4 linked regions of the Diceros bicornis minor genome follow. The main gene of each other region encodes a partner of the protein of the gene in region 2 in a complex. Links are inferred from orthologs where the notes say so. Each region holds a gene or a part of one and is shown on either strand. Other genes may lie near its edges. The genes, in order: CHCHD6, IMMT, MICOS13 and APOO.

Evidence for each region.
Region 1: IMMT (region 2) and CHCHD6 share a complex: the UniProt entries of both Homo sapiens proteins name them as parts of the mitochondrial contact site and cristae organizing system (MICOS) complex. The link is inferred for Diceros bicornis minor from reciprocal best matches to the Homo sapiens genes IMMT and CHCHD6.
Region 3: IMMT (region 2) and MICOS13 share a complex: the UniProt entries of both Homo sapiens proteins name them as parts of the mitochondrial contact site and cristae organizing system (MICOS) complex. The link is inferred for Diceros bicornis minor from reciprocal best matches to the Homo sapiens genes IMMT and MICOS13.
Region 4: IMMT (region 2) and APOO share a complex: the UniProt entries of both Homo sapiens proteins name them as parts of the mitochondrial contact site and cristae organizing system (MICOS) complex. The link is inferred for Diceros bicornis minor from reciprocal best matches to the Homo sapiens genes IMMT and APOO.

What each region holds. Positions count from the first base shown.
Region 1 is NC_080741.1:91,423,566-91,430,648, forward strand, and holds the start of CHCHD6 (MICOS complex subunit MIC25), read left to right. Parts: upstream 1-4,076; 5' UTR 4,077-4,144; coding exon 4,145-4,231; intron 4,232-7,083. UniProt on the Homo sapiens protein: Component of the MICOS complex, a large protein complex of the mitochondrial inner membrane that plays crucial roles in the maintenance of crista junctions, inner membrane architecture, and formation of contact sites to the outer membrane.
Region 2 is NC_080751.1:3,826,062-3,833,977, reverse strand, and holds the start of IMMT (MICOS complex subunit MIC60), read right to left. Parts: upstream 3,006-7,916; 5' UTR 2,932-3,005; coding exon 2,887-2,931; intron 1-2,886. Other genes in the region: MRPL35 (large ribosomal subunit protein bL35m), read left to right, coding at 7,697-7,739. UniProt on the Homo sapiens protein: Component of the MICOS complex, a large protein complex of the mitochondrial inner membrane that plays crucial roles in the maintenance of crista junctions, inner membrane architecture, and formation of contact sites to the outer membrane.
Region 3 is NW_026691615.1:2,511,130-2,517,545, forward strand, and holds MICOS13 (MICOS complex subunit MIC13), read left to right. Parts: upstream 1-4,095; 5' UTR 4,096-4,194; coding exon 4,195-4,223; intron 4,224-4,901; coding exon 4,902-5,079; intron 5,080-5,273; coding exon 5,274-5,325; intron 5,326-5,675; coding exon 5,676-5,773; 3' UTR 5,774-5,908; downstream 5,909-6,416. Other genes in the region: HSD11B1L (hydroxysteroid 11-beta-dehydrogenase 1-like protein), read right to left, coding at 734-845, 1,488-1,618, 1,702-1,818, 3,387-3,510. UniProt on the Homo sapiens protein: Component of the MICOS complex, a large protein complex of the mitochondrial inner membrane that plays crucial roles in the maintenance of crista junctions, inner membrane architecture, and formation of contact sites to the outer membrane.
Region 4 is NC_080781.1:20,078,782-20,086,619, forward strand, and holds the start of APOO (MICOS complex subunit MIC26), read right to left. Parts: upstream 3,002-7,838; 5' UTR 2,718-3,001; coding exon 2,709-2,717; intron 1-2,708. Other genes in the region: CXHXorf58 (uncharacterized protein CXorf58 homolog), read left to right, coding at 5,862-5,977, 7,007-7,106. UniProt on the Homo sapiens protein: Component of the MICOS complex, a large protein complex of the mitochondrial inner membrane that plays crucial roles in the maintenance of crista junctions, inner membrane architecture, and formation of contact sites to the outer membrane.

The sequences.
Region 1 (7,083 bases), on a different chromosome or scaffold from region 2:
AGACGACCTCCTTATTCTTGATCTTGGGGGAAAGTTTCCTTCTGGCTTTTAACATTGACAAAAGCAAATTACTTTTCTTAGTTGTCTACTCTACCAGCCCTTCTTTTCTTCTTCTCTGCTTCTGGAGAACCCAATTTAAGAGAAGCTACCTGACACAACTCCCCCTCCAAACAACCCTCAATACTGGTTGTGAAACTGTTATTTCCAAAAATAAAATCTTTCAGTAATAATGTTACCGGACACAAACACAGGTTATTTTACCGATCACACAAGAGGGGCCAAAATAAAAACTGGAATGCCAGGCTCATGGCAAGGAAAGGGTTAGCCAGATGAGGACAATGGGAGCTAAATCTGAGATCTACCTCCTCAAAGGGAAAAAGGTAGGGGTTTTTATTTGAGGTTTTAGGCAGGGGAGGGGGAGCCTGTGGCCTTGCAGGTTGGTGCCTTCCCACCAGCCTGCTTTCTACCTTGTGAGGCTGCTGGCAGGGAAGGAGATGGTGAGATGAGGGAATCTGCAGGTGGGTGTCCTTGGTTGTCTGTCTCCATGATGGACGGTGGGTTCTGGTGCCAGGAAGCCCAGGAGTTGGGGTCTGGGAAGCTTCAGCTTCTTGATATTCGCTAGACATCAGTTTCCCTGTAATAAACTTCAAGAATACAGAAGTTAAAGAAAGCGATATTTACATGTGAATGCAACTTGGAGAAGCAGGGAGAGGGGATGGGTGCTTTTGGTTTTAACCCCATATGTGCTGGGGTTAATGGAGGAGAACTGATATCAGGGCCAGCATCAATAACAGCTGTCACTGAATGAGTCCACTAAGTGCGGAGCTCTGGGCAAGCACTCCATGTCACGTCAGCACCACTCTCATATCCGTCAGAAAACGGAGGCGCAAGGAGATTCAATAACTTGCCCAGAGGCAAACGTCTAGGAGGCAGACCTCAGCCCTGCACTCGATCTCACATCGCCACATCTCACTGCTCTCTTCAGCGCTGTGCTCTTCTCTGGGTACGTCACCGCTCAAGAGCCTTCTTGGCCAGAGGTAGGCCACAGTGTCATTTCCAGCTGCAAGGCACAAGGGAGTCTGGGGAGGGAAGTATTTTTTCCCCAGGTGCAGAATTTTATTTTATTTCCTAATTATTATTCTGAAAAATTTCAAACCCATAAAAACAGTGAAATAATAATAAATGGACTCGAATATATATTTCACTTAGATTCACCTATTGTTAACATTTTTTTTCTGAATCTTTTGAGGGCAAGTTGCAGAAACTATAACACTCCACCCCTAAATACGTCAGCATGCATCTCCCAAGAACAAGAAAATTAACATTAATTCAATAATATCATCTAGGACACTATTCCACATGTAAAACTTCCCCAGTTGTCCCAATTACCTTTTCATACCCTCGTTCTTGTTTTTGCTGTTATCGTTTTAATCCAGATCTAATCAAGATTCACCGTTGCATTCCATTGTTATGCTTCTTTCATCTCTTTTAAACTTCCTTGTTTTGTGTTTTGTTATGTTTTTCATGACATTGACCTTTTGGAAGAGTTCAGGACCATTGTTTTGCAGGATGTTTCACATTCTGGATTTGCCTATTGTTTCCTCATGATTGGCTTCTGGTCACATATTTTTGACAACAATACTCCACAGGAGATATTGTGTGCTCCTTACTGCATCGCATCTGGAGGGCCATCACGTCACGTTGTCCCACTCTTCACAATGCTGAATTTGGCCATCTGGCTAAGGCAGTGACTTCCAAGTCTTGTCATTGTAGCACAGTTTTCCCTTGGTAGCTATTAAGGCATTTGCGGTGAGACTGGGAGGTTGGGTGAACACCCTGTTCCCCAATCACTTATAGTGAGCTATACCCAATAGCTAGCTATACCCAATCTTCTGCTGTTACAAATTATGCACTGATTACTTTATATGTACCTACTTTATTTCATGTTGTTATCACTGCATTTTGGGAAGACATTCCTAGACGCAGAATTGATGAGTAAAGGGTAAATGCTTATGTAATAATCACTAGCTATTGGGTATAGCTAGCTATACACGATCACTAAGCTATACCCAATAGCTTTAGTATCCATTGATGATTTTTACCTGATTCAGTTAATTCATGGAGGGTTGCAAAATGGCAATTTTTAAATCTCACATTTATTTGCTGGTATTCTTTTGTAAAGAAGAGGTTTCCTTTTTTTTCCATCCTCTCTCTCTTTCAACACATGGACAATTGGATTTCGAAAAAAAACTAAATGTGTTATAAGCTCAAATTATCAAATTGTTATAATGCTTAAACTGTCCCAAGTTTGGCCAGTGGGAGCCTAGGAGGCAAATTTTTCTAACCAGGCACATTGCTGCACCAAAGGGAAGTGGGGTTCTGTTGTAAGGAAAGGGAGGATGGGTACTGGGCAGCAACTCGTGGGCCTGTCACAACATCTTACCTCCCCAAGCCTCAGTGTCCTGGGCCTTAGGACAGGGTGACAGCTCTCTCAGGATGGTTTCCAGAACTAAATGAATTGGCCATGGATTAACTGCATGAAAAGCATGTGTGCCTGTGTCATAGAGCCTGGCACAAAGAAAGTGCTCAAAATATATGCATTTCCCTTCCCCTCTTCTCCTCTGCTTTCCTCTGCCATTGGCTTTGCTCAAATCCTCATTCTACTTTGGATTTATAATGTCACATTATCTTCACCTGTTAGTGCCTCAGTTTTCTTGTTTGTGAAATGGGGATACAGAACTGGCTGGGTTGTCAGGAGGCTCAGCTATGCTGCCATGAGTATAACGCCCACTCTAAGTGTCGGGAGGTTTCAATTCTCTCCCAGGATTTTGCACACAGGGGGAGACCACACACAGTCTCATGGTCACCTGTGGCTCTGACTCTTGTTTTGCTGAGTTAGTTCAGTGTGTTAATTATTTCGTCATTTGACCCAGAAGTGAAATCCAGCCCTTTTCTTAATTTTTACAACCCTCTCCCCACACACATGGTCACATATGACATTTGGGTGTCTGGTAGACCTTGAAAATTATTTGGAGCGTGTAGTGGGTGCTGAAGGTGCCTCACCCAGATTTTTTTACTAGCTGGTGAGGCCATCCCCAGCCACTGTGGGTGTGGCTGTCGACAGCTCACAGATGCCCCCTTTGCTGGGGAATTGTCCTAGGCGCAAAATAAAACTCTGACCCTCGCCTATAAGGCCGTACGTGATCTGGGTCCTTCCTGTTCCTCTGACCTCTTTGCCTCTGGCTCTCCTCTGCTCCTTTCTCACTCTCCAGTCCCGTAGCTGGGCCGTGAACGTAGCAAGGTCTTTCCTGCCTCAGCGCCTTTGCACTGGTTGGTCTCCAGCAAAGTTCTTCCCCAGCTTCTCCTGGCTAACTCCTACTAGTGCTTAGGTCTCAACTCAAATGCTTCTTCCTCAGAGAGGTTGCTCTGGCCTCTCAAATTAAAGGATACCCCCTCCTATTAATTTCTCTCATGGCCTCGTGATGCTCTTGTTTTCCGTTTATGGCACTTAGTAAGTTTATTTATGCGCTTGTTTGTCTTTTCATTTGCTTCCTCCATTATATCTAAACCTCAGGAAGGCAGGATATGTCGTGTTCGTCGTTGTGTTCCCCACGGCTAGGTCAATGCTTGCCCGGTGCTTAGTGAGTGCTGCTCAATACCAGTTTGCTGAGTGAACCAATCAGGGAACCATCCGACGTGCGCCTCCACGTGCTCGGCTCAGCCTCCTCGGCGGTGTCCTGGCCTCACACCATCACCCTTGGCTCTGCTTCCAGGGTGGTCTTTCCAGAGCGAGCAACCATCTCCGTCGTGCTCCTTAGCCTGCCACTCCAGGTTCCACGTCCGCACCCACTCTCCGCTTCCCTCCAACACGCTTCCCGCAGCTCAGCCACCACGCCTCCCGGAGAAGGCTGGTTCTGGAAGGGCAGCCGGGGCGGTGAGACTACAGCTCCCACAATGCCTCGCAGGCCCGCGCCACATGATTGGCTGAGCTTCCGGCAGCGGCCAATAGGACGCGGTGTTGTTGGCTTGTGCCGCGGCAGCCCGAGTCCTGGGAAGTGCGGGGCGCGCAGGGAACGCGGCCCGGCGTCTGCTTGTGCTCCGAGCTGGGGCGCGTGGCTGCTTTGCTGCCTGTCCGCCTCCTGCCATGGGCAGCACCGAGAGCAGCGAGGGCCGCAGGGTGTCCTTCGGCATGGATGAGGAGGAGCGGGTCCGGGTGCTGGAGGGCATCCGGGTGAGCGGGCCGCCGGCGGGCGCGACGAGCGAGCGCGACCTGGGCCGGGCGGGCGGACGGCGCCGAGGGCGCGGAGGCCGGGCGGGTGAGGGAGGTGCGGGCCGGAGGGCGAGCGGCCTCGCCCGTGAGCCCTGCCGGCTCCCTGGTGGCGAGCGGCTGTCCCTCCGCCGTGTAGAAGAGGACGTGAGGCTCGGAGATGCCCGGGGTCCCCGCCCGGGGAGTGGCCGCTGGAAGGTTTCACCGCCACCCTGACGTCAGGCTGGCCCCGGGGAGAAGGAGTGGAGAACGGGACAGGTGGGGAGGCCACGTTCCAGCTCCGGGTGGCTTGTCACAGACCTGAATTTTTCCCCCGCCCTGGTGCGTGCATCTTGTTATGTATACAGGATGCTTCCAATCCTGGACACCTGCCACAGCCTCTCAGCACCGCAGCCACGGGGCACTTGAACAGTTGTGAATCATCATATACCCTTCCCCCTGCTTAAAACCGTCCGCTGGATCCCTAGCGCATTTAAACTGAAGAGGAACCGCCTACCTTGTTTTACAAAGCTGTGCTGCTGACCTCTCCGACCACATCTCATGCCAGCTCCGTCACTCCCACCCCCCATCTATTCACTAGCCTCAGGTCTTCCTTGTCCCTGTAAGGTGCCAGCTTGCTCCAAGCACACAATCTCGGCATTCGCTGTTTTCTCTTCCCCAGCTTTTCTAATATCTAGATCTTATCGTTATTGTTCAAATATTATATGAACATCCTTGCCTGACCACTCGATCTAAAGTAGCTTCCCACCTGCACTGTCACACTTATTTTTTTCATAGTACTCATCGCCATTTGAAACGTCTATTGATAATTAACTTGTTTATTGTGTTTCCCACTACAGTGTAGGCTCCTTGAGGCTCAGGCTCTTGTCCAGTTCCTGAGTGTTAACCCCAGAACTTAGAAGAATTAATAAAAGCAGCTCACATTTGAGTGCTTAGTGGGAGCCATGCGTTGTGCTAAACCCTTTACAGGTATCCTCACATTTTCAACAGCCAAGAGGTAGATTTCTGTTAGCCAGTTTAATAGATTAAGGACAGCTGAGGCACTAAGAGATGCAGTAACTCATCCAAGGTCACTAGGTAACAAGTGGGCTAGTTGGGGTTGAAGTAGGCCAACTTCAGGGCCTGTTCATTGAATGCTTCCTATCCTCCTGCACCTGTGCCTGGGACATAGTGGGTGCTTTGTAAATAATTGTTGAGTAATTAAATGGATGAACCCAGTGAAACAGGGGCCAAGTTTAAATGGAATGCACAGAGTTGGTGAATTAGTTAGGGAGGTGGCTGAGAAAAAGACATCGGGAGGTCTAACTCCTGGGCAGATGCTCATTAGCTTTGTGACCTTAGGTGAACAACTTATCTTTTGAATCTCAATCACCACATTTTTTAAAAAAATGGGAGGAGGGTGTGATAATCCTAGGTGCTGCCTCAGATAAGATGAAGATGCGTGTGGAGGTGTTTAGAAAAAGTAGAGTGTTTTGTGGGAGCCTCTATTCTTAGCATAGTACTTAGCACGTTTGGTGCTTGCTAGGTGTTATCTAGTCTTGACCTGGCTCTTGGCAACGACAAAATAGGGAGGAGATGGACCGCATTGGAAGATTGAGAGGCAGGAGCCTGAATTGGAATTTAGGAAGATACCCTTGACTCTGTTTGGGTGCTCTCCCACGTTTGTCACTTGGTATCCTGCTTTTGGGAATGTTGGAAAGATAGGTCAGTCAGAGTCCCTTCGAAGGTGACTTCTAAGTTCACAGATGAACATCTTTTTTGGCTATATCAGACAGGTACATTTTATTTCTAGTTCTCTTAGCAGTTCTGCAAAGTATAAATTCTCTTTTAAGATGGAGAATCAGGCTTACAGAGGTTAAGAAATTTTTCCAAAGTGTTACCTGAGTAACTTCTGGGACTTTAATCCAGATATTTGGGTTTGAGCAACAGCCTTTTCTCACTACTCTAAGCTCCCTCCTCCTAGTGATATGCAAGGCAGTGTGAACATTCTGTGACAAAGCCTCTACCTGTCCTGACAGGGTGCTGGTGCCCACTTAGTTCTTCCAGACTGTTAAAACTTGAGGGAGTTTTGGTGACTGACTGCTGGGCAAACTCATCAAAGAGAATAAATGACTTGTCTAGAGGCACACAGTGGGTGCGCGGCCCCATGCTCTGAGAGCCCCTTCCTTTCTTCCTTCTGCTTGTGTGCCTGGTTTCAGAGAAGGAGATCAGAGAAAGGAGGCGATTGCAATGAAGTGTTTTGGTGTAGGGGCTTTTTCTGCTAGCAAAGTTATTTTGAGGGTTGGGGAGTCCACCATGTCTTTAAGCAGACAAGTGGAAAAAATAAGTAGAAGAGATCATTGAATGAACCAGTGAGAACTTAGTTTAATAGAAGGTAGAAACTAAACAAAATGCCCCAGCTCCTTCAGAGAAAGTTAAATATTCTTAAAGACCGCTTGTATTTAATCCCCTGGGCCTGGTCCTGGAAAGTGCTTTAGTTCCCTTAAAATTAAATACCAGGGCCTTGCTAGTTTGCACACTTATTTGCATAAATTTACATATCAAGTTCAAGCCCTAATTCCATGGAAGGTAAAAGAAATTTAATTAATGCAAAATGCTGCAATTATATTAAACTCCAGTTTTCAGAGCAAGCATGTGTGAAATTATACATAAAGATTTCATTTCAACCAGTATGTTTAACCTCATCCTTCAATAAGAGAGGGTACACACGTGGCAATAACGTCCTGTGTATGTCCACTTTTCCTCTTCTCCACCCCACGTAAGCAGCCCACTTTGGTAATTCAGCTGAAAGTTGTTGCTTGTCAACATCCAGACTC
Region 2 (7,916 bases):
TGACAATTTCTTACAAAACTAGACATGCTCTTACGATGTGATCCAGCAATTGCACTCCTTGGTTATTTACCCAAAGAAGTTGAAAACTTACATCCATACAAAAACCTGCAGAGAGATGTTTACTGCGTCTTTATTCTTAACTGCCAAAACTTGGAAGCAACCAAGATGTTTTTCAGTAGATGAACGGATAAACTGTGATACATCAAGACAATGGAATATTATTCAGTGCTAAAAAGAAATGCGTTATCAAGCCATGAAAAGACATGGAGGAACCTTAAATGAATATTACTAAGTGAAAGAAGCCAATCTGAAAAGCCTATATACTATATGATTCCATCTATATGACATTCTGAGAAAAGCAAAACTATGGAGACAGTAAAAAGATCAACGGTTGCCAAGGGGCGGGGTGGGCGAGTGATCATTATGTGGAGCACAGAGGATTATTAGGACAGCGACAATACTCTGTATGATACCATGATGGATACACGTCATCATACATTTGTCCAAACCCATAGAATGTACAACACCAAGAGTGAACCCTAATGTAAACTACAGACTTTGGGTGATCACGATACATCAATGTAGGTTCATCAATTGTAACAAATGTACCACTCTGGTGGGGGATGTTGATAATGAGGGAGGCTATGCATGTGTAGGGGCAGAGAGTATATAGGAAATCTCTGTACCTGCCCCTCCATTTTGCTGTGAACTTAAAACTGCTCTAAAGAAATAAAGTCTTAAAAAAAAAAGGGAGATGGGAAGAGAATACTTTGGGGGTATATTTAGAGGTCAAGGAAGAAGCAAACTCAACAAAGGGAAACAAGAGAGAAATGAAATGAAGGGTAAGATGGGACCCAAGGTACTACACGAGAAAAGCCACAAGAGCAAAAGGGGTTTCACAAATCAACAACATCAAATGCTATAGAATGACTGAGGAGATAGTAAGAATAAACCAATGAATTTTACAAGACAGCAATTTCAGGGAGGTAAGAAATATTGGTTGCAGGCTAGAAAAGGGTTCATATTTTAGTAAGAAGTTTTAACCAGTTTTCTTCTAATTTCCTAATCAAAATCTCAATAAATGGAAAAAATTTTGATGAAGACAAGGAAGGAAAAAGTAATTTTGGATTGTAGGGCAGACAGAGGGGACAGATCAGTGACAACCATAATGTAACCTGAGGTCAGAGCAAGGAAGAGTGTGTCATGAAAGGAGGGCTCCAAAGATAAACTTCAACAGTTCTCCCCTGCAAGGCAGCTCTCTCCCTCCATCCTTCTACCCCCACTTGACAGGATGGTAGGCCAGATTCTAAGATGGCCCCATGATCTCCAGCCTCTGCTGTTAGCCCATTATTACAGTTGTATGGCAAGAGGCATTTTGCAGATGTATTTCAGATTACTAATCAGTTGACTTTGAATTGGGGTTGAAAAGAAAGGTCATCCAGGTGGGCCTGGCCTAATCATGTGAGCCCTTTAAATCTGGGTGTAGAGATCAGAAACAGGGAAGTTAAGAAAGATTTTGAATCAGAGAGACAAGCTCCCAGTAGCCAGCAAGAAAGCAAACATCCATGTTATGAACTGCCTCTAAGGACCTTGTGGCAAGGAACTTCACGCAGCCTCTAGGAGAGGCAAGGCGAGAGCTAGCAAGAAAACAGGGACTTCAGTCCTACAGCTGCAATGGCCTGAATTCCGCCAACAAACCACATGAGACTGGAAGAGGACCATGAGCTCCAAATGAGAACTACAGCACAGCCAACACTCTGACTGCAGCCTTGTGACAATGAGCAGAGAACTCCAATCATTCATGCCCAGAAACTATAAGATAATAAATAGGCGTTGTTTTAACCTACTAAATTTGTGGCATTTGTTACATAGCGATAGAAGACTAATACAGACCCCACTTTCCTATGGAAAAGGCTGTTTCTCTTACCCTGGCAACAAATGGAGAGATAAGCAAATCTAAAAAAAAAGAAAAAAAAAAAAAAGGAAGTTTGACTTTTATGATTTTTAACCCATTGTGTCTAGAGATTTTGTCCAATTACTGCTTAAGTCACAGTACCTGTTTTCCAATACAATATTTTGCCAAAATATCAACTTTCTTTAAATTGTGAGCAATGGAAACAGGTTTACCTTTTTATTTTTAATTTTGGAAAGTTACTTTAATAATTATGCATAAATAAATGTAACTGGGTGTTTAGGTTCCTTGAACGTCTGCCAAAGATGTCTCGGCACCTAGAGACACAGATCCCCAGTCTGATCTCAGAAATGAGAACAAGGTCATAACTCCTGACTTTCCTCAAGTACCAGGAGTTTGAGCCCCATAAACTACCATCTTCCATTTTTGTTTAGAGTAAGAACAGCTTTTCTCGGCTAGGAAAAGAAAGGTAGTCCCTCCTGGATAATTACAACCTTGACCCCTACAACGCGGACTCGAGCAGTTCAGCCACCTCCTTATTAAGATAAGCCAAGGCCATGCAAGTCCTGCTGGGAACTGTAGTTCTCTCTCCTCGACCTTCAACCACTGCCTGCGCTAAACCTATCACGCGCCCAACCGGCGACCCGGGCGCCAGCAGCCACGGGCCTTGACTGGGGCAGCGCGGGGCTGATTGGATGAAACGTCCCCGAAGCCTTGCCTCCCGTCCTACGCCCGCCTCCCCGCCACCTTCTCTCCACACCCCAACCCGCTTCTGCAATAACCCTCAAGTCATCCCTGTCGCGCGAACTCCCGAATTAACTGCCTCACAGGCCCGCCTGGTTCTCTCGCAATGAGGGCGCCCCTGAGACACGCCTCTGTCCCGGGGCCCAGGCAGAGCCAAAGCCTCCCCCATTTTCCGCTGGTTGTCTGCGATCAGCCTCACCACGCGCTCTCTCCCGGCGCCCCGCGCTCACCTGAGCGGCGGCGGTCACGCCGGATAACTGACAGGCCCGCAGCATCTCCGCACGATGGACGGCGCTACCAGCGTACGCGGGAACAGCCGCGGCGCGCGACTAGGGGAGGGAGTGCGTTGCGTGCGTGCCTGCGTCCGTGCCGCCTTTCCGCGCCGGGCGTACCGGAAGAGCAGCCAACGCCACTGCGCACGCGCAGCCTTCTCTCTCGCCCTCCGCAGGCAGTTCGGACAGGGTGGGGCCTCCCCGGCGGAAAGGACGATTTCTCCTTCCGGGTCGCTCGGGGTTCCTGGCTGTAACCCAAAGTCGGGGTTACTAGGTGAACGGGAGGGGAGGGAGGGCGTGTGATACTCGGGCTTCGATCCGCCCGGAAAAGGGATTGGTGTGACTATTTGGAGAATGCGTGCAAGAAAGCATCTCAGCCGTCACTGGCAGCTGGAAATTTCGTAGAAGGGAATCGATTTGGCCAGAGTTACGTGAACAACGGTGGTGTCTGGGTTTGCCGTTTGTTTCGTTTGACGGCACTTCTTAAGGGAGTCACCCACTTTTCGGGAGACTGGGTGAACGAACACAGGAGAGACCTTAGTGCGGAGTGTGTCATTCACGTATCTAATAAATGGCCGAACGGGGATAGGAACCTAGACTCTTCGGGTTCCACAGCTTTTACTCCTTTCAAATTAAACCAGACTACTTCCTCCACCAATTTTTTATTTTAGAATGATAATTTTGGCTTTAGTCTGTGGGATGGGTTGGAAGATAAGGAGGTCAGTGCAAAAGCACTGTTCAAATTATTCCACTGAGTCTATGATTAAGGTATCACATGTTAAATATTAAACACAGTATTCAATACTATTAGTATTACTAATGATCATCATCAAAATATCATAGAAACTAAGTGACTTGTATATCTATTGTGTTTGCAAAGTCCTTTCAAGTCTTAACTAGGTTATGTATTACAGTATGGTGTTCTCCTTAGAGGTAGACAATGCTACTGATCCCATTTGTAAAATGGAGAAATATATTTGAAAGTTATCTAAAATCAAATAATTCCTTATGTTTGTATATGTTCAATGCTTTTTAGGGTACTTTAGTAATTACATTATACTCTCTAATTCATATCGCCATGGCCTAATAGCCTCCAGAGCGGTTTCCGTCTAATTTTAGCAATTGCATTGCCGTCTCCCCACTCCATCCCTGTCCACTGCTGTCATGCTGAGTCATGCCAGGGTGATGACTTTTCTGATAACTTGGCCATAAACCTCTCGATGCTGCTGTGCAATTTCAGTCTGCTCCAGCCATGTATGGCACAGCCACACCTTGCACATCATTAGCAACTTCTCCGGCTTCAAGATCTCAAACTCCAAAATTAATTTCTATAGTTTCGTAACCTCTCATTTAACCAAGTCCTAAATCTTCATCCTCCACGTGCAATTTATGAAAATTTTTTTGCTTTAAAATGAACTCTCCTAAAGTAACTCAGAAATTGAAGGCACTCCCCTGTTCAAAAATGTGCAGTGACTCCCACTGCCAATTCAAAGAGCCTTCATAAACTGTCTCAGTACTTTTGCAGCATATGTGGATGTTTAAGGCCCAAAGTGGGGGCTGGCCTGGTGGCACAAGCAGTTAAGTGCGCACACTCTGCTGCGGTGGCCCGGTTCATGGGTTCGGATCCTGGGTGCACACCGACGCACTGCTTGTCAAGCCATGCTATGGTGGCATCCCATATAAAGTGCAGGAAGATGGGCATGGATGTTAGCCCAGGGCTAGTCTTCCTCAGCAAAAAGAGGAGGATTGGCAGATGTTAGCTCAGGGCCGGTCTTCCTCACAAAAAAAAAAAGGGCCGGCCCCATGGCTTAGCGGTTAAGTGCTTGTGCTCCGCTACTGGGGGCCTGGGTTCTGATCCCCGGTGCGCACCGACGCACTGCTTCTCCGGCCATGCTGAGGCCACGTCCCACATACAGCAACTAGAAGGATGTGCAACTATGACATACAACTATCTACTGGGGCTTTGGGGGAAAAATAAATAAATAAAATTATTAAAAAAAATTAAAAAGGCCCAAAGTGGCCACACTACGTGGGAAGGCAAGATAGCAACAATAGCATCCAAGCTTGTCACCTGCTTGTATACACTATAATCCAGAGAAATAAAATATAACCATCTCAGTGGTTCCCAAAGTGTGATCTGGGACTCTCTGGTGAACCTGAAACACTTTCAGAGGGTCCATAAAATCAAAACAATCTTCATAATATTAAGATATTATTTGCTGTTTTCACTCATTATCTCATAATTGTACAATAGAGTTTTTCCAGAGGCTACATGACAAGTGATATCGCAACAGATTGAATGCATGAGTGAACTTCAGAATCCAGCGTTCTATTTTTTTTTTTTTGTGAGGAAGATCGGCCCTGAGCTAACATTTGCCAATCCTCCTCTTTTTTGCTGAGGAAGACTGGGCCTGGGCTAACATCCATGCCCATCATCCTCCACTTTACATGGCAGCCGCCACAGCATGGCTTGCCAAGCCGTGCGTTGGATGCACGCCCGGGATCTGAACCGGCGAACCCCCGGCCGCCGCAGCGGAGCACACGCACTTAACCGCTTGCGCCACCAGGCCAGCCCCCAGCTTTCTATTAAACCAGACCTTAAAGAGATTTGCTAAAAGGTTAAACAATAGACTCTTCTCACTAATTTTTTTTAACTGAGAATAGTTATTTTTCATAAAAATATTTATGTTAACATGTAATAGGTTTATAATTGTTTTTAAATGAATTAAGTGCTGTAGGCAGAATAGTTATCAGCAAATATGTCCACATTCTCCTAATGCTTGGAACCTGTGAATATGTTACCTTACGTGACAAAAAAAACTTTGCAGATGTGAGTAAATTAAGAATCTTGAGGGCTGGCCCCGTGGCTTAGCAGTTAAGCGCGTGTGCTCCGCTGCTGGCGGCCCGGGTTCGGATCCCGCGCCCACCAACGCACCGCTTCTCCAGCCATGCTGAGGCCGCGGCCCACATACAGCAACTAGAAGGTTGTGCAACTATGACATACAACTATCTACTGGGGCTTTGGGGGGAAAAAATAAATAGATAAAATCTTTAAAAAAAAAAAAAAAGAAAGAATCTTGAGGGCCGGCCACATGGCAAAACGATTAAGTGCGAGCGGTCTGCTGCTGGCAGCCGGGGTTCAGATCCCGGGCGCGCACCGAAGCTCCGCTTGTCAGGCCATGCTGTGGTGGCGTCCCATATAAGGTGGAGGAAGGTGGGCACAGATGTTAGCGAAAAGAGGAGGATTGGTATGGGTGTTAGCTCAGGGCTGATCTTCCTCACAAAAAAAAAAAGAATCGATATGGGGAGACTATCCTAGATTATCTGTGTGGGCATAAAGGTCTTTATGAGTGAAAGGGGAAGGCAGGAGGGTCAAAGTTAGAAAAGGAGATGTGACAATGGAAGCAGTCATCAGAGTGATGTGATTACTGGCTTTGAAGGTGGAAGGAGGCCACAAGCCAAGGAAAGCAGGCAGCCTCTAGAAGCTAGGAAAAGCAGGGAAACAGATTCTCCCTAGAGCCTCCTGAAGTAACACAGCCCTGGACCTTGATTTTAGCCTTATGAAACCCATTTTGGACTTCAGACTTACATAACTGTAAGATAATAAAATTGTGTTGTTTTAAGCCACTAAATTCGTGGTAATTTGTTATAGCAGCAATAGGAGACCAATACAATAAGTATTTTACATTTTTCTCCATTTTAATTTCCAATATAGTAAATAATAATAGGTATAATACATAATTAAAAGTTCCTTGGGGTCCTCAATTTTTAAGCATGTAAAGAGGTTCTAAGACCAAAACGGTTAAGAACCACTGCCCTAAATAAATCCTGCGTCCTTCTGTTTTGGTTCCCTCTCTCCTCACCTTAGCTCTTGGTGTTCTTACTGCCAAGACTGACCTTGTCCTTGTTAAAATCATCCCCATTCTTTAAGACCCATTTTATATTCTACCTCCTCATCCCTGATCACTCCAACCAGAAGCCTTCTCTCCTTAACTTGAACTGCCCCTATTAGTTATTTATCTTCCTTGTATTCATGTTCTGTACTTGTCTCCATATTAAAAGTGAACTCCTTAAGATCCAGTGTTCAACCCTTACCCATTTCAACCAGTAAATAGTGTTTATAGTAAATGCATGAAAAATCTTAGGGGACAAGGATGGGAGAGAGATTTGTTGGTTTTTTTCCTGCTTGAACATTAGAAAAAAAATGTATGATCACTAATTCTCAGGAATAAAATAAGGAACATAGAATTGTTCAGGAAGAGTTGAGATGCTGTTCTACAAATGGCAATCAGTGTTACTGCGTAGAAAAATGTGTGCGCGCGCGATATCCTTAGGATATTTACATTCATTTGATTATAGTGGCATTCAATTTTTTTAAAAAATTACTTTTAATAACATTGCTATTTCCCATTCATTTAGCCTAACATCTACCAGCTTTGGAAGGATAATAAGTTTTATTATCTCAAATAATAAAATGAGCAAAAAGAATTGTTTCAAGTATGTTGTGTACTTTAAATGTATTTTTCAATCAAATGCTCAATAAAAATTTGAGAGCCTACTATATGCCAGGCACTATTCCATAGGCTCTTGTTTTACAGCTTGTGAAGGACAGCCTGGCATAGAGAAGACATTCAATAAAGGTTAACTTGACCGTTCCTTTATTCATTTTTTTCCCCCTGCCTCCACGCCCTCCGAATTCCTTTCCCTAATTCCCTTTTGCCGTGAAGCTGTTAGACCCAATGCGGCTGCCGTAGGGCAGGGTAGCAAGATGGCGGCCTCTGCCTTTGCCGGTACGGTGAGAGCAGCATCAGGTCAGTGGAAAGCGGCGTGCTCGATTTATGCCTTCACAGAACGGGGAGCTGGCGCAGGATACAGTGGGCGTTCAGCGTGGAGGTTATCGGGGGAAAAAAAGGGGGGGAGGTCGTTATTTGAGGTCAGAGGGTTGTTCCAAAATTTCTCCAGGGCGGCCTATATTCGGCCTCCCGCAC
Region 3 (6,416 bases), on a different chromosome or scaffold from region 2:
AGGGGAGCCTAGAACCAGGGGGCGGGGCCTGGGACTAGGTGGGGTGGAGCCTGGCCCGTGAGGGCGGGGCCAGGGCCCAGAGGGGGCGGAGCCATGGGTGCAGTGGGGCGGGGCCTGGAGAGGGAGCCTGGCCTGGAAGGGTGGAGCCATGGCAGAGGGGGCGGGGCCGTGGCACGGAGGGGCGGGGCCTGGGGACAGGCGGGATGGAGCCAGGCCGAGGGGGCGGAGCCATGGCCGCGGAGGGGCGGAGCACCTGCAAGAGCCAGCGTGTGGCTTGGGCGCTCCGGGCCCGCGTGCCGGCCGGGGCGGAGCCGAGGTGGTTCAGCACGAGGTAGTCCAGCCCGCCTGGCCGGGAGAGGTCCGTCAGCCCGGAGCTACTCCTTGAGGCTCCGCCCCTGGGACGCATGAGACTCCGCCCCAGCCCCGCCCCCTTGGACTAGCAAAGCTCTGGCCAGAGCATTGACCCAATGAGCTCCACCCTAGGTAGCGCCCCACTTAAGATCAAAGAGACCCCGCCCTACTCCCCACATCCTGCCAGACTTTGGTCCCTGATCCAATGAGGCCTGGTCCAGAGTTCCGACCCCTGGATGCTATAAGGCTCCACCCTTAGCCACGCCCAGGGCCCCATAAATCTCCACCCTCAGAAGTCTGTTACTACCACACCCCCACCCCAATTCGGGTCCTGCCCCTAAGGCCTAGGCCAACGTCCCACACTCCAGGCCCCGCCCCTCACCCAGCTTGTCCAGCGCAAACTGCACCACGCGCCCGGGCACCTCGGGGGAGGCCATGTCCGCAGCGATGTAGAAAACCTTGGGAGCGCCCAGCTTCCGGCAGTTCCCTACCACCTGGAGGGCCAGAGCTGCCCGTGGGCCCCTCCACCCCAGCGGGCCCCCCTCCACCTGCCGGGCCCATTGGGGCCCCAGCCTGAAGCCCCCTCCCCTACTCTGGGCCTCGGGGTTCATTCGCCATCATTCCGAAAGCTTTACCACTGGGGTCGCAAACTGGCAGCCTCAGGGCCAGAATAGGGGGTATTTTACTTGCTTAATCACCAACATTTAAAACTCAGAAGATTTCAAGTAAATCTCAGATTTCTGGCCTCTCTTGAAATTTTGGAAGGTTCGTCCCCAAGAGCTGTACATTTCCTTGGGGCATCAACGGGCTATTGCTAAGAAATGTCCACCATCCCTCTTTTGAGGCTGAGAACCCTGGCTATTGGCACAGGCCCTGGACACTATTAATACTGCCATTTATTGAGGAACATTCCCTCCTTCATACTCACTGTTTTATTGCATCAACCCAACATCGCAACCCATGAAAAGGCACTTTTATTGTCTCTGTTTGTAAACGAGGAAACTAAGGCTCAGAGAGGTTAAGCGACTTGCCCCAGGTCACACAGGAAGCCTGGATCCTTGTCGGGATTCAAACTTAGGCCTTGTTTTCCTCCCCACTCCCACTCCCACCATTAAACTCGAAATGGGGAGTCTCACCTTCTGCAGGAGGGCCTCGGTGTGGGCAGTGAGCACGAGGTGGGAGCCCAGGCGTGCGTAGTGGTAGGCCAGCTCCTCGCCGACGCCTGCGCTGGCTCCAGTCAGCAGCACACGGGCCCCCTGGAGGCTGGCTGGCAGTGAGCACAGGTGCTCAGCCTACAGGGTGGACAGGCCAGCCGGCCCAAGTCCTCCGTCCGCCACCCCAGGCGCTCACCTGGGTTGAAGTTGTCATCCCAATAATAGGCGAAGAAGAGGGCTCCCAGCCCGGTGAGGAGCAGTACCTTCATGGCCCCGCCTGGTCTGCAGCGGGAGAGAGGGTGGCCGCACAGGTCTGGCCCACAGGCACACCCGTTTCCCCAATTTCGATGAAGATGCTCCTGGCCCTGCCCCCTTCTCCATCTCCACTGCCACCACCTGGTCCAAGTCACCATAGAGCTCACCTGAACCGCTGTACCAATCCCCTTCCCTCTTGAGGGCTTTCTCCCTCCACGCAGCAACCCAATCACATCTTGCCTTCTTCCACTGAAAATCCTTCCGACAGAAGCCACACTCCTCGATGGCCAAAGAGGCCCCGCAGAGACCAGCCCTTCTTGCTGACTCTGCTTTCTGCCACACCAGCCTCTTAGCTGTTCCTCAGAACCAGCCAGTCACCATCTGCCTCAGGGCCTTTGCACTGGCTGTTCCCTCTGCCAGGAATGCTCTTCCCAAATATAACCCAACGGCTTGCTCTCTCACTTCTTTCAAGTCTCGCAGCAAAAATTACCTCCTCCGAGGGCGCTTCCTTGCCTTCCTTTTCTAAAGCACCTCCCTTCTGGGTTCCTCTCTCTCCCTGACCTCTAGAACTTTCATCTCCTTCTCAGCAACAAAATCATCTTGATGATTGTTACGTGATCACTGTCTCTCTCTCCCCCCAGAGTGTCAGCCCCACGAGGGCAGGAAGGAAATGAAAACCTGTTTTGTTTACTGTTGGGTCTTCAGCTCCCAAAACTGTGCTAGGCACACAGTTGGTGCTCAATAGATACTAGATTGACACAGAGGGATATGAGGAATGTGGGGGGGGGGGCCCAGAAAGACGACTGTCTGGAGACACCCAGAAGGAATTGGACACTCGGGGCTAGGTTAGGGACAGAGGAGCCCATGTCATCAGGGTTAAGACAAGACTTCAGCTGTGGTGGCCGATTTACTTGCTCAGGGAGAGGGCAAAAGAGAAATAGGCCAGGTACCGAAAGTTCGGGGGGTCATGGAACTCCCCTGAAAAGGGCACAAGCCGATCACATCTTGGGGTTTGTATCCTCTGAAGTAGGTGGGACAGAGGATGCACTGCAAAGTTCCACCTGCCTCCTGCGTCCCTCCCACCCGATCCTCGCCATGCAGCCAGGGGATCTTTGTCAAAAAAAATCCGGCAAGTCCCTTCCTGCTCCAGACCCTCCCAGCGCTCGCCACTGCCCCCAATGGAGACCAAGCGCTTCACCCCAGCCCACGGGCCCAGGGGTCTGGTCCCCGCCCACCTGTCCATCCTCATCTTCCCCCACTCTTGTCTATGAGCTCTCAGAAAAGTGAACTCCTCGCCCTTCCCCAGTCACGCCAGCCGTCCCTTCACCAGGGAACAAGCTCCCATCTCTCCCACTTCCAGGGGAAGTCCGTGAAGCCCCTCAGGTCAACCCTCCTCCCACCCCCGGCCCTGACACAGCAGCTCCGCAGGGGTCGGATGGGTGGATGGGTGGGTGGATGGGTGCGTGGGTGGGTGGACGGACGGACGGACGGACGGAGCAGCCAGGCTGCGATGGGGGAGGAATGGGGGGAAACAGATCCTCGCAGAACCCACCGGCTCCCTAACTTGGCCGGGCTTCAGTTTCCCCTCTGGACAAACGGGGTATGAAACCCCAACCGCGCACTCACCCACTCCAGCCTCAGTTTCTCCCGCGGTCCAGCGGGGGTGGGGTCCCGGCGCGGCAGCCAAGCGCGAGCCCCTCGGGCCTCCGCGGCGGCGTCTGGCCTGGCCCCCGACCGCGCCCCCTCCCATAAGGCCGGAATCACGTGATTCCCAGCCCACCTTCGAGGGTGGGAGGGACCAGACAGCAGGGACTCCGCGCTCGGGCGTTGCCGGGCAACAGCCTCCCGCCGGGCTCTCCCCTACCAAGCAGCGGCTCTGGCCCCGCCCCCTGGAGGGAAGCCCCACCCACCGAACGCGATCATATGACTTAGGCCCCGCCCCTCTCGCACAATTCCGCTCCCGCGTTGCCGTGACAACCGGCTTGGAGGCACACTCTTCCTGAGCCCGGGCTCTTCAGTCCCCCGCGCGGGCGCGGGTGGACCTCCCCGGCTCCGACATCTTCTTGGGTCACCCTCAGGCCCCACTCCAGACATCCGACTCCTCTTTCCCCTCACACCCCCAGGGCAGCGCCGCGCCGGACTACCTTTCCCAGGAGCGTCGGGGGCTAGGGGAGACGTCGGGTGCCTCACGGGGCGGTGCGGACTACATTTCCCAGACAGCTTTGCGGCGGCCGGGCCCTGACCATTACGCTTCCCGGAGTCCTTTCGCGGTGGGGCCGCAACCCTCTCTGGCGTCTTGGAGCCGGGACGAGACTCCGACTCCCAGAGGGCTTTGCGGTTGACAAGGGCGACTACGCCTCCCAGAGGCCTCTGCGGCGCCGCGACCGGAAGTGGCGGGCGAGTCCGGTGTCCTTGCGCGCGGAGGGGAGCGAACATGGTGTCCCGAGCGTGGTCGCTGATGAGGTGCGTGGGGTCGCCGGGCAGTCTCCGAGCCCCCGAGAAAGTCCCCTCCCGCGGGCACCCCCCTCCAGTTTGCTCCCGACCTGCTCTTCGATTTCCGTAATGTCAGGTCTCCATGGCCCAGACGGGGAAACTGAGGTTCAGGCGGGGAGAGGCTTCCCGAGGTCGCTTCGCAGCGAGCCCTTGCCCCCCCCGACTCTCTGTATCCAGACCCGTCTGAGCCTCAGTTGCCTGCTCTGCAAAATGGGGGTGCGCACGCATTTATTGGGAGGTTCGTGCGCGCCCAGAGCGCCTGTGACATATAGGAAGCGACCAGGGACGCTTAGAAACCACTCCCGCAGGTTGCTCGGGGCCGTGCCTCCCGGGGCTGGAAGGCAGAAGGTCAGGGGTCTTAAGTCTTCACTGTCCTCTGCGGGATCATGAGTGACCCCCTGGCCCTCTCCGGGCCTCAGTTTACCCGTTAAATGGGGTGAGTAGCCCTGTTTTGCACACTGTAAGTTGAGTGCTGTGCGTATCAGGCTCGCCTCTGGGCCCCGAGGGTGCCCTGTGCTTCCCCTCTTAGCTGCCTGGCTTCAGGTATGTCACTCTGGGCCCCCAGGGGCTCCGACTCACCCCCACCCCACCCGTGGCGCTGGACCCCCCCCCCGACGGTGGCTAGCAGTGTCCCCTCCCTGCCCGCAGGTTCCTCATCAAGGGCAGCGTGGCCGGGGTTGCAGTCTACCTGGTGTACGACCAGGACCTGCTGGGGCCCAGCGACAAGACACAGGCGGCCCTGCACAAGGCGGAGGAGGTGGTCCCCCCGGCCATGTACCAGTTCAGCCAGTACGTGTGCGAGCAGACGGGCCTGAAGATGCCCCAGGTAGCCTGCGATCCGAGTGAGGCTAAGGCTTGGCGGGGGGGTGGCTGTCATCTCTGGGGTGGCCTTCGGTCCCTGGTCCCTCCAGCCCTGCGTGGCGTCCTCTGAATGGGGGCCTGTGCTGCTCTGCCTGCCTCTGCGGGGGGGCCGGGGTTTCCTGTCCTCTGTCACCAGCCCCTTCTCCCCTCTCTTCCCAGCTCCCAGCCCCCCCAAAGTTTAACTTTCACCTCCGCGAGTCCTGGAATTCAGGTAGGCCTGGGGAGCTCCTCTGCTTGGGGGGGTGGCCTCGGCTACCCCAGTCTAGCACCCCCACCCCGGCTTCCTGGCCGTGCCTCTCCATTCTCCCCTTCCTGTTTTGCGCGCGTCTCCCACGGATGTGAAGGCGGGAAAGGGCTGGAGGTTTCAGGGCCGTGGGAGCAAGATGGAGCCACATGGGACTGGAGCTCGCGGCGTGACCTCAGACAAGGCGAGGCCCTGCCCCTCCTCTGCCTCAGTTTCCCCGTGTGGAATGGACGGAGCTGCAGGGGGCGCCTCTAAGAGCCTCGCGGAGTGGACTGACCCCCCCTGACTGAAGGCGTGGGCCCCCTTCCCTCCCACAGGCATCATGACAGTGATGTCGGCTCTGTCGGTGGCCCCCTCCAAGGCCTGCGAGTACTCCAAGGAGGGCTGGCAGTACCTGAAGGAGCGCGCCAAGTAGCCTGTCAGAGGGGGCCTCCCGCCCCTGTCGGGCACAGGGGCACGGGCGCCACCGACCTGGAGACTCCAGACTGGGACCTCACTCCGAGGGCAGCTCCCGGCCGTGCCGGCCCAATAAAGGACTTCGGAAGTGTTCCTTGACCTGTGTGCTCGCCCCCGGGGCGGAGGGTGGCCCGGTGGGCGCCCAGAGCACAGGGGCTGGGCTTCTGGCTCCTGGGGGCTCCTCAGGCCTGACATTGACCGCAGGCGTGGTTCACCCCTGATGTGGGGAGTGGGAGCAGACAGTTGGCCCCCGTGCTCCGTAGACAGTGCTCAGGACCCTGGGGAGGGGTGAGGAACCCAGCCTGGGTTGGGGGTCTCGGTTCGTGGAGGTCTGAGCCCAGGGTGGGGCAGTCTGGGAGCGGGGGATTCATGGTTCCTTCGCCGTCTACACGGCGAGGAGCCCCTGCGGGCAGTGATTCTCCATCCTGCTCAGCTCACTGATCTGCCCGTGTCTACTCTAGTCTAGTCCCCCCTCGCCTGGTCTCCACATTTGTTACACCCTCTCCCCACCCCCTGGGGATTCCTGGGGAACACAGGCCGGTGGTCATGGCCGTGCAGGGGATCTCCCCAGCCCACGAGATGTCCCCTGCTCCCCTGGGAAG
Region 4 (7,838 bases), on a different chromosome or scaffold from region 2:
TGGGAAAGCATGTGTACTGGCAGTCATCTTGCAACCATAAGGGGAACCAATCTTACTATGGAAAGCCAAGAAAAGAGACCAGGTCCTTGATGACATCGTTGACCCACTGGAGTCTACACTTCCCCTGGACTTGGTGAGATAACTTTCCTTACTATTTAAGCAACTGTTTTCCTAGTTGAAAGCATCTTAACATAGGCTGTCCTCCGTGCAACTTTCCTCTCTTGATTTTCTCAACATCACTCTTTTGTGCTCCTACTGCTACTTATCAAAATTTGCTTCTCAAACATCTCTGGCCTTCCCTCTTCCTCTGCCTACTCCTTACATTTTGTTGTCCACCAAGGTTTGTTGTGATTTTTTTCTACTCAAACTACGTTTAGATAATTTCAGTTCACTGTATCTTCCCGTGACACAGGAGAACTGAGCTACTGGCACTTCCTCCAATGGAGTACCACTGCTAATGTTTCCCAACTCCTCCACCTGAGGAACTCCAACTTGTCTTTCAAAACTAAATTTAAATGTCTCCTCTGTGAAGCCTCCCGTGAAGTCCCCAGGGGTTCCTTGCCTTTTTTGTGCCATAGACCTCTTTGGTAGCCTGGTGAGCCCTATGGACCCCTTCTCAAAATAATGCTTCTAATTCCATAAAACACCTATTGCAATAGTTATAAAGATATTTTTTAAACCCCAAATCTGATATAGTAATATGTGCTTATTAGCTCATTAAATAAAAAGATCTAAGAGTGAGTCTTATAACTACTGTAATTTTGAAGTAGTGATGAGCATAAATGATATTCTGAGATCTGCAACACCTGTAATGCAATATGAAAATGTCTGTGACATGCATTGGTCCTGTGACTTCTACTGGTGACAGGTACTGCTACTACTACTGTGGTTTGTTGCTGTAGTAGCTTATTAAATTAATCACTCCCAGTGAACCACACGGCCTCATATCCATGCTCTGATGTGGTCCTCCACCATACTGACTCTGGGCTTGGCCATGCGACTTGTTTTCACATCAGCAAATGTGATGCAAGCAGGTGTTTGGGCATTGGGACTAGCCCTCTTGGAACCCAGTAATCATGTGAGGAAGCCCAAGTTAGGCACAGTGAGGGGCACCAAGCTCCCAGACATGGGAGTTAGGCCACCTTGTAGCCTAGCCACCACCTAAATGCAGCCACGGGGGGATGGCAGCAGAACTGCCCAGACAATCTACAGATGGTGAGAAATAATAAATCATCGTTGTTTCAAGGCACTGAGTTGCAGTGGTTCACTATGCAGCAAGATAACTGAAACAGTTACCTACATTTATAACTGAAAGAAATGCTAAATTTCAGTTGGAGATTGGTGAAAATAAAGATTTTTTCCCATCAGAGTTCAGGAACCCCCCGAATTCTATTCAGACTCTCTGAAGGGCTGAGGACCACAGGATAAGAACCCCTAGTTAGGCAGAGCAGATCCTGCTCTCCCTTTTACCAACATGGTATATTGTTGATACCCATGTCAACTGATCACAGCATATTCTTTGTTGTTGCAACCCTAAAACTGAGCTGAGCTCCTAGCACATTATAGGCGTTCAACACAAATTTATCAAATGAACATAAATTGCTTTTGGGCTCTGTCATCCTGACTAAACTGGGACCTTCCTGAGAACAAAATAAAAGCGAATACGTAGATGGCACTTCTATGTGCCAGGGTTTCTTCCAAGTGCCTTACACACACTAACTTTTTTATTCCTTATAACAACCCTATGAGGAAGATGCTAGTCCCCCCAATTTCACCTATTTGAAAACAGGCAAAGAGAGGTTAAGTGACTTGCCCAAGGTCACACAGCTAGAAAGCTGTGATGCTAAGATTGGAAGACAATCCATGTTCCGATTTTATAACCTGTACTAATGTGCCCAAAGTACACTGCAGGAGCTCAATAAAACTTTTAAATGAGTAGTACAATTTTGAAATTCCATTAGCATTATTTTATGGTTTCTATGCTTCTTGAAGACTCAATTTTGTAGACTAATTTCTGGTAGCTTGTGATTTGTTCTTCGTGATAGAAAATATCATTTTTTTTAAAGTGGTATGATAATGGCTTCACGTTAAAATGCAGATTTTCGAACAAAGTCTTCACTGTAAAAATCAATTTCTTTCAAAGACGACGAGTTCATAAAAGTAAAGAGGGTCGACTTGTCCATACTAAATAATGCTTCCTGGGGAGGAGAGCAAAGCTCCAGCTTCTCCCCTCACCCAGCCATTCCCATGCCAGCCTCCCCTACACCCTGCAGCAGCTTCTCCAAAGTTGACCCTCCCCCATTCACACACCAGGTTCTGAAACCTGACTCTGCCAGGCAACCAAAGCCGAACCCTGCAGTGCCTTGAGCTGGCCTCACCCTACCCACGAACCCAAGAGAGCACCAGCCGGTGGGGGGCAGGGTGGAGACTCTGGGGGGTACTTTAACTTTTTAAAGTATTTTATTAAGGAGAGCACGACCAAAAGAGCTCCCCCACCCACCCCGGGGTCTCACGCCTCCGCCCGGCAGCTGCTCGCTCCAAGCGGACAGGTGAATGAACCGCGGGGCTGGGACGCAGCCGGTCCGGAGGCGGGAAAAGCCTCGGGACGAGCCGGGCCTGGTCCCCGGAGAGGCCCACAAGAGCTCGAGGAGGGCTCCGGGAAGCCGAGAGGGGGCGGTGACAGCTGCGACCCGGTTCCACGCTCTCACCTTGAACATGCTGCTGGCAGCGGCGGTTCCGGCGGGGTCACCCCGGCCCCGGCCCCGCCCACTACAGAGAGGCGGATACGGCGGCCGGGTAGGGCCCTGATTCCTCCCACTGCAGGCGGGCCGCAGTGCGGATGACGGCCGGCCGTACAGCCAATTCGATCCTGCGAAAGCGTAGTTCGGAAGCGTGGGCTGGAAGCGGCGTCGCGGAGCTGCAGAGCGTCGCGCCCCGGCCCAAAAAAACACAAGCCCCGCCCTCCAGGAAGCTCCGCCCCTGAGCCGGCGGTTGCTAGGCGGCAGGAAAGCGCCAGCTCAGTGTGGGCGGCACGCGGGGGCGCGAGGAGCGAGGCGCCGGGCGCGGCACAGCACTGGGAATCGGCCTTCGCCGCCGCTATTGGGCGCCCAGAGGCGTGGGCTGGGAATCCTGTGCGCCGAGGCCGCCGGGCGAGGGCGCTCGGAGGGCCTCGGGCGGCTGCGAAAGCCTCGCAGCCGGAAGCCGCTGACCTCGGGGCCTGGATTCACCTCGCAAAAGGTTTTCCGATTTTTTTTTTTACTGTGGGCTGGACGTTTCTGAGGTTTTAAATTTAAACTAATTTGTCACGTCCTTTAGTCTCGAAGGGCCCTGATCTCTTTTTTTCTCTTTAAAATACTTAAGCGTATGCCCCTCACTGAGAATCAAATGTCGGTCCCTTAAAACTAGTAGAAATAAGTAATAATGACAGTAATCAGCTTATGAACAAGAATAGCGAGCACTAACACGGCAGTTTACTATGTGCCCAGCTCTTATCTAAGCTCTTTGCACGTATTCATCTAATCTTTCCGACAACCCAAGTAGGTGGGCACGATTATTATTCCCAATCTAATAGATGAGGAAACTGAGGCACAGAGAAGTAATTTACAGGGCCACACAGAAGGAAAATGGGAAGCCAAGATCCAAACTAGGTAGTCTACCTTTAAAGCCTGTGATCTTGCCTAAATAATTATTATAGTGTCTCATAATGGGGGTGTGTTTCATATTTCATTCTTGTTTCACATCCTAACCCCATAAAAAGTGTAAATCCATCCAGGGGGGCATCCAGAAGAATTTGGGGATTTGTGTGATGGCGTGTCACTGCCATCCAGCCAAAGACCACTGGGAACACATCTGTAGTTGAACAAGTTGGGTTTATTTCTCATTGCTGCGAGGAAAACCCACACCTTGGAAAACAGTGGGGCATCTCAGTAATTGGGTGTTACAAAGATTTATTATAGGATTTGGGCTTTGGTTGGGTGATTTTGGGGTGAGTTCAAGGAAGAGGGGCTTTGCTCTGGATTGGGTGTTGTTGGGAAGCCGGGGTAACACTGAAGCCCAGCTGTGAGTGCCAGGCCAGCTCCCGGGTGTTAAGGGCTGCTTCTCTCTTTCTTGAGAGAATTGTATGTTCCAAGCCATCCCCATCCCTATCCCTAAGGAGAAATATTGAGTAGACTCTGAAGGCTCTGCATAAGTAAGGGAATGCCCTATTTATATAAAAGTGTGAAGTATAGTGATAAATTAAGGCAAGAGTTCTTAATTCAAGGGGTACGTGAACTTGGATGGGGAAAAATTTACAACTTTATTTTCACTAACCTCTAACTGAACTTTAGCATCTCTTTCAACTATAGTGTAGGCAAAAACCACAGTAGTATCAGCAGTCTCTGTGGCTTTGTCATCAATAGAAAGCACAGATATTTTCATATCACATTACAGTCATGGCAGATTTCTTGAAATATTTCTGCTCATTACCACTTCGCAAGTACAGTAGTTATTAGAGCTCTCATTTTACTGAGTGCATAAAGAAGACACATTTCTATGATTTTATTTTTGAAAATATTTTGAGAATGATTTCAATATAATTGGAGTCCTTTGTAATCCTATGTATTTTATGTTATGCATTTAAAAATATATAGTTCTTGGGCCGGCCCCGTGGCTTAGCGGTTAAGTGCACGGCTCCGCTGCTGGTGGCCCGGGTTCGGATCCCGGGCGCTCACTGACGCACCGCTTCTCCGACCATGCTGAGGCCGTGTCCCACATATAGCAACTAGAAGGATGTGCAGCTATGACATATAACTATCTACTGGGGCTTTGGGGGAAAATAAATAAAATAAAATTATAAAAAAATATATATGTATATAGTTCTTAGAGTCTGTCTGTAGGGTCCATGGCACCAAAAGAAAAGATCAAGAGCCCCTGGTTTAGTAGAAGAGACTAAGCAGAGACTAAGAATTTGGGAGCTGCATCCAAATTGGAGTAATGTGTCAAAGGATAGAAAGAGGTAGAATCAGATCATTAAGTACACACCCTCTCATTTTGCCAAGGAGAGAACTGAGCTATTGAGAGGTTAAGGGACTTGCCCAAACTCACACAGCTATTGCATGATAAAACCGGATGGAAAGTTTTTAGACAAGCTTGTAAAAACCCTCCTCTCTGCTAGGCATTGGGGATTCCATAGTTAGCAAGATGTCTCCTGATGTCTCAGCGAGCTTGTTGGGGTGACAGCCAAGAAAACAAATATGACGCGATATGAGAAGTACTGTAAAAGAAAAACATATACAGTATTATGGGACCTTGGAGACAGGAGTGAGCAGTTCTGTAAAAAAGAGAAGGTGAAAAACTTCAGAGAAGAGGCATCAATTAACTGGGGTCTTGAAGGATGAATTGATGTTTGCTGGTGGTAGAGAAGTCATTGCAGGTAGAGGAAGTGGCATGATCAGCGGCAGAGTTGTAAAACATTGAATGATTTTGGCAAGAAGTTCTTGTTCTCACAGAGCATGGAGAGGAATGCTGATGAAAGTCGGTATTTTGAGATTTGAAAGAGAATGGAACTAGATTTTGAAAAGACTTGAATGCCTTTCTAAGGAGTCTGGGGCTTTAGTTTGGAAGAAATGAGGTGTCCCTGAAAGATTTTAAGTTGGGGAGTGATAAGGTTGGATTATTGCTCTAAAAAGTTCATTCCAGCTGCAGTGCAGACAATGTAAACTGTAAGCAACATTAAGAGATCCACGATGCCTTCCTTTCTAAGGGGTTCCGGAATTAGTGCAACAATCATATGGCACTTGAGTCTTGTCCAGTGTAATAATATAGATTATGACCTCAAATGCTTAATTTATGTACTTTCAGAGTACTCCATTGTAAGGAAAATGAGTCGTTCCTCAAAGGCATTGGTTACTGGTGTTTCAAAATCAGATAATCCACCTTCAGGAAAAGGCCGCAAAGTACATTCGTCAAATATTTTAAAGACAAAGACAATACAAGAGTAAGTAGCCGTCTATCGCCTGTATCATTTTCCACAACTGGACAGTTTCCATACGGTATTTACCTAGCTAACATCCAACATTTCTTGTTTTGTAAGTTAGAGGTTTTGTGTTTTAAAATTACTTTTGAATTGAATAATAACTATTATAATTATAGTATTTCATAATTTACAAAGTATATTAACACACATCTCTTTGATCCTGACACAACCCGGTGAAGCAATCTTATTATTACATTTTGTAGATGAGGAAGCAGCAAGTGGGAGAAGGTAAGTGATTTGCAGAAGGTTAAACAGCTAATAAATGGCATCAGCTGGGATTCAAAGATTTGTTTCCATATTTCAGGCCTTTTTTACTCTAACATCTTGTAGTCTGCATTTTGCCAGCTAACGGTGACGTTATACAGGAGTACCTACCTCTCTTTGCATGTAGCCCTATGAGGGGTAGTGACAGGGTGGGCCAATCTCAGAGAGGTGGATCCCTACAATCTGCCAGTGCTGGGATATGATCAAAAGTAGAATAATTCTCTGGCCTGACTGGGATAAGCCTGGTTCAAGCAAAGATCAGAGAAGGGAGTTTCTTTTTCTAGAGCACGGTCATCTGCTCCCAGAAGAGAATGGGGCCTGCTGTAACTTTGACTATTCCTCATTCTATTTTCATAGCACTTGAACTAGTTGGACAGTGTTTTTAAGAACTAACCATAATGGAATCATTTTAGGTCATGGATGTTTTTAGAAAACAAGTTTGTCCCCTCACACTTTTTATTTATAATATATATGCCTTTTGATGATAAAGTTTAAGCCAGGACTGTTTTTTGATCTCAAGGGAAATATCAAGTATTTCATATCCTCATTCTGACTAGATTCTGCAAATGACCAGTTCCAATTACCACATCCAAATGTTCCTCATTAGGTCAGCTTTAGGGTGGGGGATGGGGAGGTACAGGAGGAGGAAGCATAAATTCAGAGCTCCCCAAGATTTTAGGAAAATGAAAAATATTTCACAAATCTTAGCCTCTTTTTTTCTCTCAGAGTTAATAAAGATATTTCAGCTCAAACGATACAGAGAGCTTGGTTAGCTCATATGGACAAAACAATATTTCAGCTCCTAAAGCACACAATTTGTGCAGCGGTATGTATTTTGCTTTTTGTTTTCTCTGACAGATTTAATTACTTATTAAGCTAAAAGGTCTGTTAAGTAAAAGTAGAATATATAACCTTTTTTATCTCTTCTATTTGAATCTAATAATATTGCATGGGGTTCTGGGATTGCTTCTTCGGTTAGCCCTAAATGAATATTTCTGGATTTATTTTTAACATGGGTGACTATTATTTCTTTTTCTGAAACCAGTATGATGTTTTTAAAAATTTGATTTTTTTATTTGAAGATGTGAGACAGTGATCTTCCAACAATAAAAATCTCTGAATTAAAAGTACCCTTACCTTCTACCCAGCAATTTCACTTCTAGGAGTTCATTCTACAATATATGTACAATTTCATTGCAGTATTGTTTGTAACAGCAAAGAGAGTAAACTACATAATGTCCATTGATAGGATGCTGGTTAAATAAGTGTTGGTGCTTTCGTAGTGTTAAACCTTGCAGCCTTGCATATGATTCTGTGATAGAAAGATAGCTAAGATATCTCGTTAGTGAAAAAGGCAAGTGCAAAACACCATGAATAATATGGTCCTATTTGAGTAAAAAAACACACACAAAAAAAACAAAACAAGATGCATATTGCCCGACTCCCCAAAAAAACAATTCTGGCAACCTTGGCAGAGTATTAAGCCTTCCTGCATATAGTACCAAATATTCTTCTAATAAAATCACCCATGATTACAGTAGTCTATAATTAGTAATAG